Linked DNA regions of Drosophila melanogaster. The protein of the gene in region 1 interacts with the protein of each later gene in a pairwise test. Each region holds a gene or a part of one and is shown in the gene's direction. Other genes may lie near its edges.

Region 1 (4,819 bases):
ACTAACCGTTGTCACCGTTGTCATTAAAACATAAAAACGAAAGATCGCCGAGATGCGGTCTTTAAACTTAATTACGCCCGTATCTCGGTATTTCGTATCTTAATCGCCTGACCGAAATGCGTAATAAAAAACCGCAAGAACAGTGTTTTTTGTTAGTGATTTTGATTGAATTGCGCTAGATTCTTTATTATCATTTTTGCCACTCAACATGATTTAATTAAAAAGCCGAAATGTTTTTTGTCGGCATAGTTAGGTGGCGGGTTGGTTTATTATTATTTGTTTACTTGTTTGCTGTTCTTGTTTAACCCGCCTGAGCTTTTTATGCCACCCGCTATGTGATGTGATGTAGACACAAATACGCGCGGCATAAAACATCCAAATATTATATTATATTATACATATTTATCTACATAGTCGTCCATGTTTTCCTGTCCATTTTTTTTTTGTTTTTTGGTGGATTGGTGGATTGTTTGCCTCGATTCGATTCAATTCGTTTCGTTTCATTTCGCTGCTTGATTGAGCACATCAGCGCTGGCAAAAACATATTTGCGTTTATTTTTGTAAGCTTTGCGCTATGGCTACATTTTAACATATTAATGCTTTATGGCTCACTTTTCATGCACTGGAAATTCAATTTAGGGAAATTTCATTTTAGCGAGAGTATGTTTTTGGACCTGCGATCTTTAAAAGAAGCATGCATTGGGTATGAGGGATGTGTGACCCCGACGGAATGATTAATTGTTTATTGAGAAATGGATAATGGATCGGATGGATCATAGCTCGGATGGAGTCACCACCGCTGATTCACGCACTTAGGATCTTTTGTGACCCAAATTCCCCAGATTATTCGGGGTTGTTGTTCCCATTTAGCTGCACACTTTGTTGTGGTTTTGAGGAAAACAGATCACGGGAAATAGTTCAGCACCTGCACTTGCTTTCAACTTCAAAGAGATGTGCCAAATGTGCGTTTCATACGCATAGTACATTCATGACAAGAAACAATAATATGAGATCATTGAAACTTTATGTATATCTAAAGTATAGATAATGAAATTATCCTACTTAAGGATTTATTTTTTGGGCAATTGTACTTGAGCCCTTCAGCAAATTGTTTATCCCATTTAACTAGATGTAATTATAGGATTACTATAAGTTACAGCCCCGAAACGGACTGATTGCACATGGGCATTTGGCTGGCTGCGCCGTTAAAAGCTTGGCTATGAAAACAAAATACAAACAATTAGCCAAATAACAAAAAGAATAGCCCGCACCAGGAACAACAACAAAACAGTGGGCCACAAAAGCCAGACAGACATTGGCAGCCGTTGCCGTCGCCGTCGTCTGGCGTTTTGTAGCTTTGCGGCTCTGCCGTCGTATCGGTTGGGAATTGAGAACCGACAATGTCTATATAGATGCTATATAGCCAGACTGTGCCACTGCCACTGCCTCTCGCACGGCCCAAAAGCAGCGACGCCGGCAGCGACGACGACTGCGACGGCAGCGATGTGGTTGAAAAGATTTTTGTATTCGAAAACGGCACAAAATGCACATAAAAATTTTCGGTTTCGGTTTTTGCTTTAGTTGAGAGAAAATCGTCGCTTAGTTAACGTCGCCCAAGAACTGAACTGGCAGTGCACCACAAACGTCACGAATATACGAAACCGAGATCCAAGTCCAAATCAGTAAAAATCAAATCAAATCGAAACCGTATCGAATCGAATCTAATCGAATCCCAGCAGAAAGCCACCCGATCGGAATAAATCGGTCAGTACCAGGTCGCATGTGAAATCAGACATTCGGTTAAGTAGAAATCAGCTGGTTATACAATAGCCTGCCGCAATCGATTCGCCAGGATCGCTGATGAATCAGAATCAATATCAGAGACAGTCACCGCCCCTCTCCCTCACCATTCGTCCACTAAATAGTGACTTGTGTGCATTTTGTGAAGGTTAACAACAAGTAAAGTCCCTTACGAAACCGAAGACTCAGCGCGAATAATATAGGCGATTGGTAAATAATTTTCTTGGCACGCCGATCCAGGGAATTTCTTTTGACGCATATATCACATTTGTTGGCCAGAGCACAGATACAGAGATACAGATACGTTGTAGATCTTCGGCTCGTTGAAATTGAATAAAATTATATAGTCAAAAAGCGAGAAAATTTTTAGAAACTTTTCAAGGTGAGTTTATTTATAGCTCCTCGAAATGGCTGCGCGGATTGGATTTGTTTCCGAATACTCTCGCTCAGTCAGTCAGTCAGCGCCGTTCGCCAGCAGCCATCCGCCAGATACAATATCTGCCAGATACAGATACACAAATTGCGAAAGTGCTGCGAATGTGGCGGCCACCACCTCCTGCGCCTCCTTTCTATGCTCGAATTGCTGCGGTTTGGCGCCACAAATTCTGAGACATTTTCAAAACGTTTTGAGCGCTATATAGACTATATATCGGCGACAGCATAAAGCATCGCATATTAATGAAGCCAGACCAGCTCTCTAGGTCGCCTCCTCGAAAAGTGTCTTTCGTTATCTTGGCAATTTTCGTTTGCGATTTTCGTGGCTGCTCTTCGGATTTCCTCTTCGCCTGATCTATTTTCAGCGATTTTCAGCAATCGCTCTCTCCTTTTCTCTCTGCCTACCTCGCCAGCTCTCGCTCACTCTCACTGCCGCTGACATCACGTATACGCAGTGGTTGCTCTCCATTTCCATTTGCCATTTCCAATTCCTGCCAGGCCACCAGCAGTCTGCCTGTGATGTAATTTAGCCATGACCAAAACTTGTTGATACTCGCCCTGTTCTTGTGTCCGTTTATCTTCTGGCTTTCTTTTAGCCTGGGTTCAGTGAACCCCAACAAAACGACGAAATCGATTAATCACCCACCTTGTTATCTAGCGATTAAACTAATGTTTGGTCACCTCACCAATAATAGCTGTAAAGCAATCGCCACTTCGACCGAATCAATCTTACAACGCCTCACAACATCCGTGAATCAATGCCCGATAAGATAGTGGTTCTATAAACTTGAATGAGCTAATAGCCATTGCCACTGACCACTTTTTCGATGAATGAAATGTCTTTGTTTACACTGGGGTTTATCAGTCCAGGGCGGAATTAATTACGCAGAGGATGATGGGTGCACTAGAAAATACACCGAAAACAAAGAGCTGACTGTTCGTTTAATTATTTAAGTCGAGTTCTTTTAGTAAACAGAATTGTATCTAAATTTTTTCTCACTGCTGAAAAATACTAGCAAATTCCTTCTCGGCCGGGAATCGTAAATTAAGGCCGTCGTGGAAATGTAGCTGAGCTCATTAGAATGGCACTTCTCGTGCACATCCTATTCCTATCCTATCCCATTCCGTTCCTGGGTGCGTGACAATATTTCATGGCTTGGCTTCACTTGACTCGGATTCGTGCACATATTGCAACCATCGCGGGGGACTGAGCGATGGGGCAAAAAAGGGGAGACATGCTCTACAAATTTCAAACAGCTTTGCGTATATTTTAATTAGTTCGCTCTCTCATTGGCCGCTTTTGCTTTTTGCAAATTCTCTGCGGTCTCTACGATTGCCACCAAATCATTTCTCAAGAATTTAACCTTCGTGAACTGTCATGGTAGATTGCATTCTCTTTCCTTTTGCTGAGACAAGCACTTCTCTCGTATCTTTGTATCTTTGTTTATTCTTCAGGGTTCGTATGTCACTCAGAGCAAAAGAACAAAAAAAAAAAAAAAAAAAAAGGTGGCGAAACAACGCAAAACCCGACCGATGATAATGATTCAAGAATATTTAAACATACGTTAATGGAAGGTTCTTGCCTGGGAATGGTTGTAGGAGTAGATTGAGATATGACCCCTTTCGACCTTCTGATCTTGAATCTCATATGCTATATGCTATATGGCTTTTAAAAGAACTTCTATAATGAATTTTTAAATGCAGTGCTTGGCTATAGGAAAGAAGGTGTGCTATTTCAGCCAATGATATCATCTCAGCAAAGAAACAATTTCTTCAAATGTTTACTTCCCAATATATAGCATAAATAAATACATTTATTGCTATACAGACTGATACTATTAGCTCTCCTTATCGATTTACTAAGTTATAGTGCTCTGTTATTGCTCCCACTTAAAAAGCACTTGTGAGGTGTGCAACCCTGACCTTAACTTCTGCCAACAAGTTAATCACTTTCGCCTGGCCAACAACTGCGATGGCACACTTTCGCACAGATATGAAATCGCAAGTGGAGGAGGCGAGCGGAGTCGAGCGGAATTACACAATATTCGAGCGGCAATTTGACTAAAAGTAATCACGTATCCGACGCCTCGCAATTACATAACCGCAGTGCGTTGAAAATAAACGCCCACAGACGCGAAATCTTCGACGAAGAAGTGCAGACTCAACGCAACTCGAATTGTCTGAACCCTCCCCCCCATACCCCTTTTTTTTACTTTTTGCTAAATGGGTAATGGGTACCACTGCTGCCACTGCTCTTTCTGCACCACAAACGTGACTGGCAAACAATTTTTGGTTTCATCGCCGCGGCAAAAGCCACAGAAACCCATCGAGAGATTGCGATTGAGTCGGCACTTTGGGATAGGGTTTTAGTGGGGAAACCCGCATGGCATCTCATACCCATGCCATTCCATCCCATCCATTCCAGAGTTTTGTTTATGAATTTAACGAAGGGAAAATATTTATTTTGGCCATGCACGTTGCGCTGAACAAATTATAAAATCTCGTGCGGCGCGCGCTCATAAATCACAACAGCATTTACGTGCATCTCTTTTTCGGCATCGAGATCGAGAATTAATTGCCCGAC
Region 2 (5,041 bases), on another chromosome or scaffold:
GCTAAGTTTACTTACAATATCATTGAACAGCATATTTTTATCAGAAAATCAAATCGCTGTTCGTCCGCAAACACGGAATCCCAAATGCGCAGTACATCTGGCAGTGGAAACTCCTGCGACAGGAGCAGTGTGAGCCACCTGAAGCTGTAATACTGCGGATGCAGCTCTTGGCTCCTGAGTAGCTCGTAAATGCTTAGGTCCTTTGATTTCAGCATATTCGATAGCCTGGCCATCATGAACTTGATGCCGCCTTCTGCGTCGTCTAGTGTTTTAATAAAAAAGTCTCTTATCTCGCTCATCAGGGCGGTAAAACAAAAGAAACAATCAGCCTCAGCGTGGGCGCGATATGTGAGGTCAGGATCGGAGGCCATAACATAGTAAATGGGTCCCACGATTTCGTTCATGCCCTGGACATATCCCTGGCCGGGATTTAGTTTGGCATAGATGAACAAAATGCGTTGCACAACTTCCCAGTGAGCCTCTTGGCCCTCCTCCATGGCGGCATAGTTTTCAACGGAGCGTTTTGTAATCAAATTTATCTATATAGAGCACACATATTCATTAGGTTTGGGGCAGTTCCAGATGGGCTTACTTACTTGCTGCTAAAATCCACACGGTATGCATGAATGAAACAACACATTCTGAGCTTATTGTCTAGCACAATTCCGATCTTGAACTCACCTTTGTCATGCCGAGGCCCTTGCGTTCCACATTCGCCGAACTTAGAACGGCGGGAACCACCCGTTCGTGGAGCCTTCGTCCATGCTCTCCTTTGCTGTGGACCACAATCTCGCAGGGATAATCGGTGGGCTGCTGGAAAAAGGATATGTCCGGGCACAAGCGGCGGACATCCTTGTCGATTTGCAGTAGAAACTCGTTATCATTGAAGAACGTGTTCCACGCGCTTTCGGGTCCCTCGCTCAGCGGATGATCTTGCAGGCCAACGCCCCCCGAATCGACTTTGTCCCCATCTCCTCCGTCTACGCTAGCTCTATTGCTCGAGTGTCCGGGGGGCAGGACTAGCTCCTCGATGAACTGTTTATACAGGGCTCGCTTTTGGGCCAAGGTTGTGGTCCAACTACTGCGCCTAGGCCCCAAATAGCCAAGGAGTAGCTTCCAACTGAGTGCTCGAAAACTCTGCACATCGGGCACACCTGTGGAGTGCTCAGACTTCAAATTTTGAACATTTCAAATGCACTCTTAGCTTTCTACCATTAAATGCCAGTTTCCTGAGTTGTTTCAGGTCAATTAAATCCTGTGGCCCCGCCAAAACATCCTCAAATTCCTTGACTCTGCATTTTGGTTAGAGAAAGTCTTTGTTTACGGAGAAGTTTGGATTAGCTTAGAATAACAGCTTACCGCGCCTTGAAAATAGACATGCTGCGGCTTTATGTGGGCGGGGCTATGCTGAGATCTTGCAGTACCCCTATGTGTAATTAATTAAAGCTTTATCTCAGTTTTATGCTGGGTGAAATCTGCAGGTATAAAACACAACAAAACAATGGGCGTTGCCAGATGGTTCGAGCTCTAATCGATTATTCTCTGCGACTATCGATTTTTGAGTGCATTGGGCGGTAAAATTCAAAGTTTTTAACGATTAAATTTTATAAATAAATCGAAATTTTAAATGGTTTACTGTCCTCGTAAAAATGTATGTAATTACCTTCTGTCTTAATTGTATTGTTCTTTTTAATTAATTAATTGAAAAACTGTTTTTAAGCTGGTTGCCAGATCTTGTAAAGCTGAAGGCGCTATTGTTTAAATTGTAAATGAAAATGATTAAATCATGATTATTAGATATTGCTTGTATGTATTTTCTTTGCTCAATCAAATTTACTAACTGAAACATCAATTAATCCATTCATAATTCTCCGCGTCTCACTATTTCACTGGATTTTGAATGAATAATAATATTCTGTTTTCGCTCATTTTCTCTGATTTTTTCTCCGCTTTTATTTGATTTTTCAATTGCCTACTAGTGCACACACACACGCAGTCGCGAGCAGACGCGTTCGAATCGTAGAATTTAGCGCATATTTCTGAATGTGCGGAGCATTTCTTTTGTTTACTCTAGTCGCTGGCCAGCAATGACGACCAGCAGATCATCGGCGTCCGCGTCATTCAGTCGACCGGCTTTCTGGAAGGTGCCCGGTTACGAATTGCCCACGTCCTATCGTCCACAGCCGACCCCAAAACCGCCGCTCGTACCGCTGCCATCGCCCTGCAGGCGGCGCAGCAGCAGCGGACTGAAGAAGCGCGTCCATTTTGCCGATGAGCAAAACGTGGGGGTAAGTCCAAGTGGCCGAGAAAAGTGGAAGCCCCAACCCCTTTCAAATCGCCCGGCTTGTCAATCATCGCGCGTGTGTTCTTTTCTTATTCGTATTCCAATGTATTTGTGGCCCCAATTCACAACAGGCCGACTCAGAAATCAGTTCAATAACATTTCGCCCCTTGCGGCTCGTAAATTTGTCAAGCCAAATCTAATTAATTGGCCACTGCTGCACTTTTCGGTCAAGTAAAATGGCCCAAAAAAGATGGATGGATCTATATTTCCATTGGCATGACTTTTATACCATTCGCAAGACGTTGGGTGAAGAATTTCGAATGATTTACAATCCGCTCAAGGCTGATCTACAGCAAAAGTCACCGTAAAAACATTACACGAATTCCAATTGAAAATGAAATGAAAACAATTCAAGCCGCAAATAGTAAAAACATTTCAAGAGCCAGCCAAAAAGTGCCGAAATCAGAATGTATAAAATTAAAAATGAAATGGCAAGCCATATATTGTGTATATATTCAGCGAAAAGCCAAAAGGCAGGAAAAGATTTTTCCGCTGTAAACAGTAAAATTGTTGCCAAAATCGAGAGGCAGACAGAATGTTTAATACAAACCAACGTCCTTCAACCGTTGACCCGTTCATATTGCGTATACGTCACGTTGGCCGTAGACTTTTCCATTGACTAATGCATTAAAAATCTAATATGATTTGCTTATTTAAATTGGGCAAGAGTGTCGAATTGGTTGTTGCAGTTGTGCTAGTACCGCCTCAGTAACTAAAACTAATTACACTCTCTCTTGGTTGCCTCATCGTTCGGCAAACAAGTCGGAGAGGAATAAAACACTAATAAAATAGTCGAAAATGTCGAGGAAAAACAGATGCCTAGATACTTGATTTTTATGCTTTTTTGCATCAGGCGAGCTAGCTCATCAAAGCATTCGCCTAGATGATGATATGTGGCATTCATCTCTTCAGGGTCAGCGTGCAACTGGATCAAGTGCTGCCCTAAAATGTGGTCAACGAAATGCAGAATGCCACAAATGCAGGGCACACGTCGAATTAAACAATGGGAACAATGTGGGAAAAGGTTTGAGTTTGTGGTGGCTTGCGGATGCTCTTCGCGATTTGGGTATATATAATAATGAAAATAGTAAAGCTTTAAATACATGGCACACATGCAAGCAATCATGTTTATTAACACTGCGTATGCGTAATTTGATATGCAGCCGCTTATCAAGTATACGCCTAATTATCTTGTGGTAATTATGAGCTTTGCCGAGGTAAATGCTCCTGATGCTTTTTGAATCCACGACATCCGCTCTGAGAAATTCAGAGTGCTCTTAGCGGAAACCCCATTTAACGATTAGGATTCGCCAATCGAATTCATGTTTCTCAGCATGTAGTCGCCGTTGCCGGCGGATATAAGTTGTACATGTATGTACATATGTGTATGTAAGAAACAAACTTGTGGCGCAGTGTACTCTGCTGCCGCTGCTGTTGCTGCAAAAAGGAATACGAATTGTATTTTAAAATTAGTACTTGAGCAGCTTTGCGATCGAACAAAACGCTTAACGGATTGCAATCGCGCGCCGCCTGCGGCTCGGCCAGAAAAGGCCAGAAAAAAAAATAAACAATAAAAAATAAATATATATTTTCGGGATAAACCATCGCTGGATCGGATGAGCGTCTGATCTTCCAGTCTATCTTCAACATCAGGATGAGCCCCAAGCTGCATGAGTTTGCGGTGGTGCTACTGCGCGATGGTCAGGCCACGCCCTGGGGCATTCGTTTGGTGGGCGGCAACGATCTGGACACGCCGCTAATTATCACCAGGGTAAATGGGCGTTATATAACCAGAGAGACTGTCGCCTTGTGGTCGCTTGTGGTCCATTCATCAAAATTGAGCCAGAGAAGAAATGCCTGAGGAAAAGCGATTGGCCTTTGTGCCCCGCATGCCGCTTTGTTCTCAGCGCCCAAATAAACAACAACAAATCAAAATAGCGAAACGGGCACAGCAACAATAAACGCTGCAGCGTTGCCAAAATGCGACGCCAGTAAAACTAATTGAGGCGCAACCGAATAGTCGAAGAAAATTTCCACTTTTCCTACCTACCCCCTTTTCACTGAGCTGCGATGTAAACACACACATTTTGGCGATCATAATTCTGTCTGCATCTATTTAGGCACCCATAAATCTGTGTCAAGGTTGCAACCAGCCCGTTGCACCCTATACTATGTGTGTCTAATGACCTTCCCACCTCCTTTTCCACCCCACCCGTTGCAGGTGCAAGTGGGCAGCCCAGCGCATGGCGAACTTCTAAGAGGCGACATCATCTCGAAGATCGGCGAGTACGACGCACGCGACCTGAGTCATGCGGATGCACAGCAGCTGTTCCGCGGCGCTGGCAACGAGATCCGCCTGGTGGTGCACAGGTGAGCCAGGAAATCCGTGTATCTGCATCAAAGATACCAATCAGTTCCGTATGTTTAACATCAATTTCTTCTACGAGTGTCAAGTGTATTGAGTAAAGAGAACACCTTCATTTTAGTTTTCTGTTTTTTAAACAGGGCTTTTATCATCATAAAAGTTAGTTGATTATAGTCATAGTATAAAAAACTTAACTTAAGTTTTACTCCATTGCCAAAAGGAAACCTTCGTCTTGGATCAATTTGCACTAAGAAACGTTAGGAACTGATTTTTCTTTTGTATGGTCTGTGATATGACAAATATTAATAATTCTAAATTGCAGGGACAACAAA

What was found.
Region 2: the proteins of Zasp52 (region 1) and Zasp66 interact in a two-hybrid assay, tested with the Drosophila melanogaster proteins (one study listed by BioGRID).

Annotation. Positions count from the first base shown.
Region 1 is NT_033778.4:15,811,674-15,816,492, reverse strand, and holds the start of Zasp52 (Z band alternatively spliced PDZ-motif protein 52), read left to right. Parts: upstream 1-1,575; 5' UTR 1,576-1,764; intron 1,765-4,819. UniProt on the Drosophila melanogaster protein: Regulator of cell matrix adhesion having two related functions, one upstream of Actn organizing the Z line and the other downstream of integrins regulating assembly of integrin adhesion sites.
Region 2 is NT_037436.4:8,622,396-8,627,436, forward strand, and holds the start of Zasp66 (Z band alternatively spliced PDZ-motif protein 66), read left to right. Parts: upstream 1-1,975; 5' UTR 1,976-2,087; coding exon 2,088-2,288; intron 2,289-3,813; exon of another isoform or gene 3,814-3,998; coding exon of another isoform or gene 3,999-4,115; intron 4,116-4,565; coding exon 4,566-4,714; intron 4,715-5,031; coding exon 5,032-5,041. Other genes in the region: GAPsec (GTPase activating protein, SECIS-dependent read-through), read right to left, coding at 16-539, 682-1,154, 1,213-1,292, 1,360-1,379.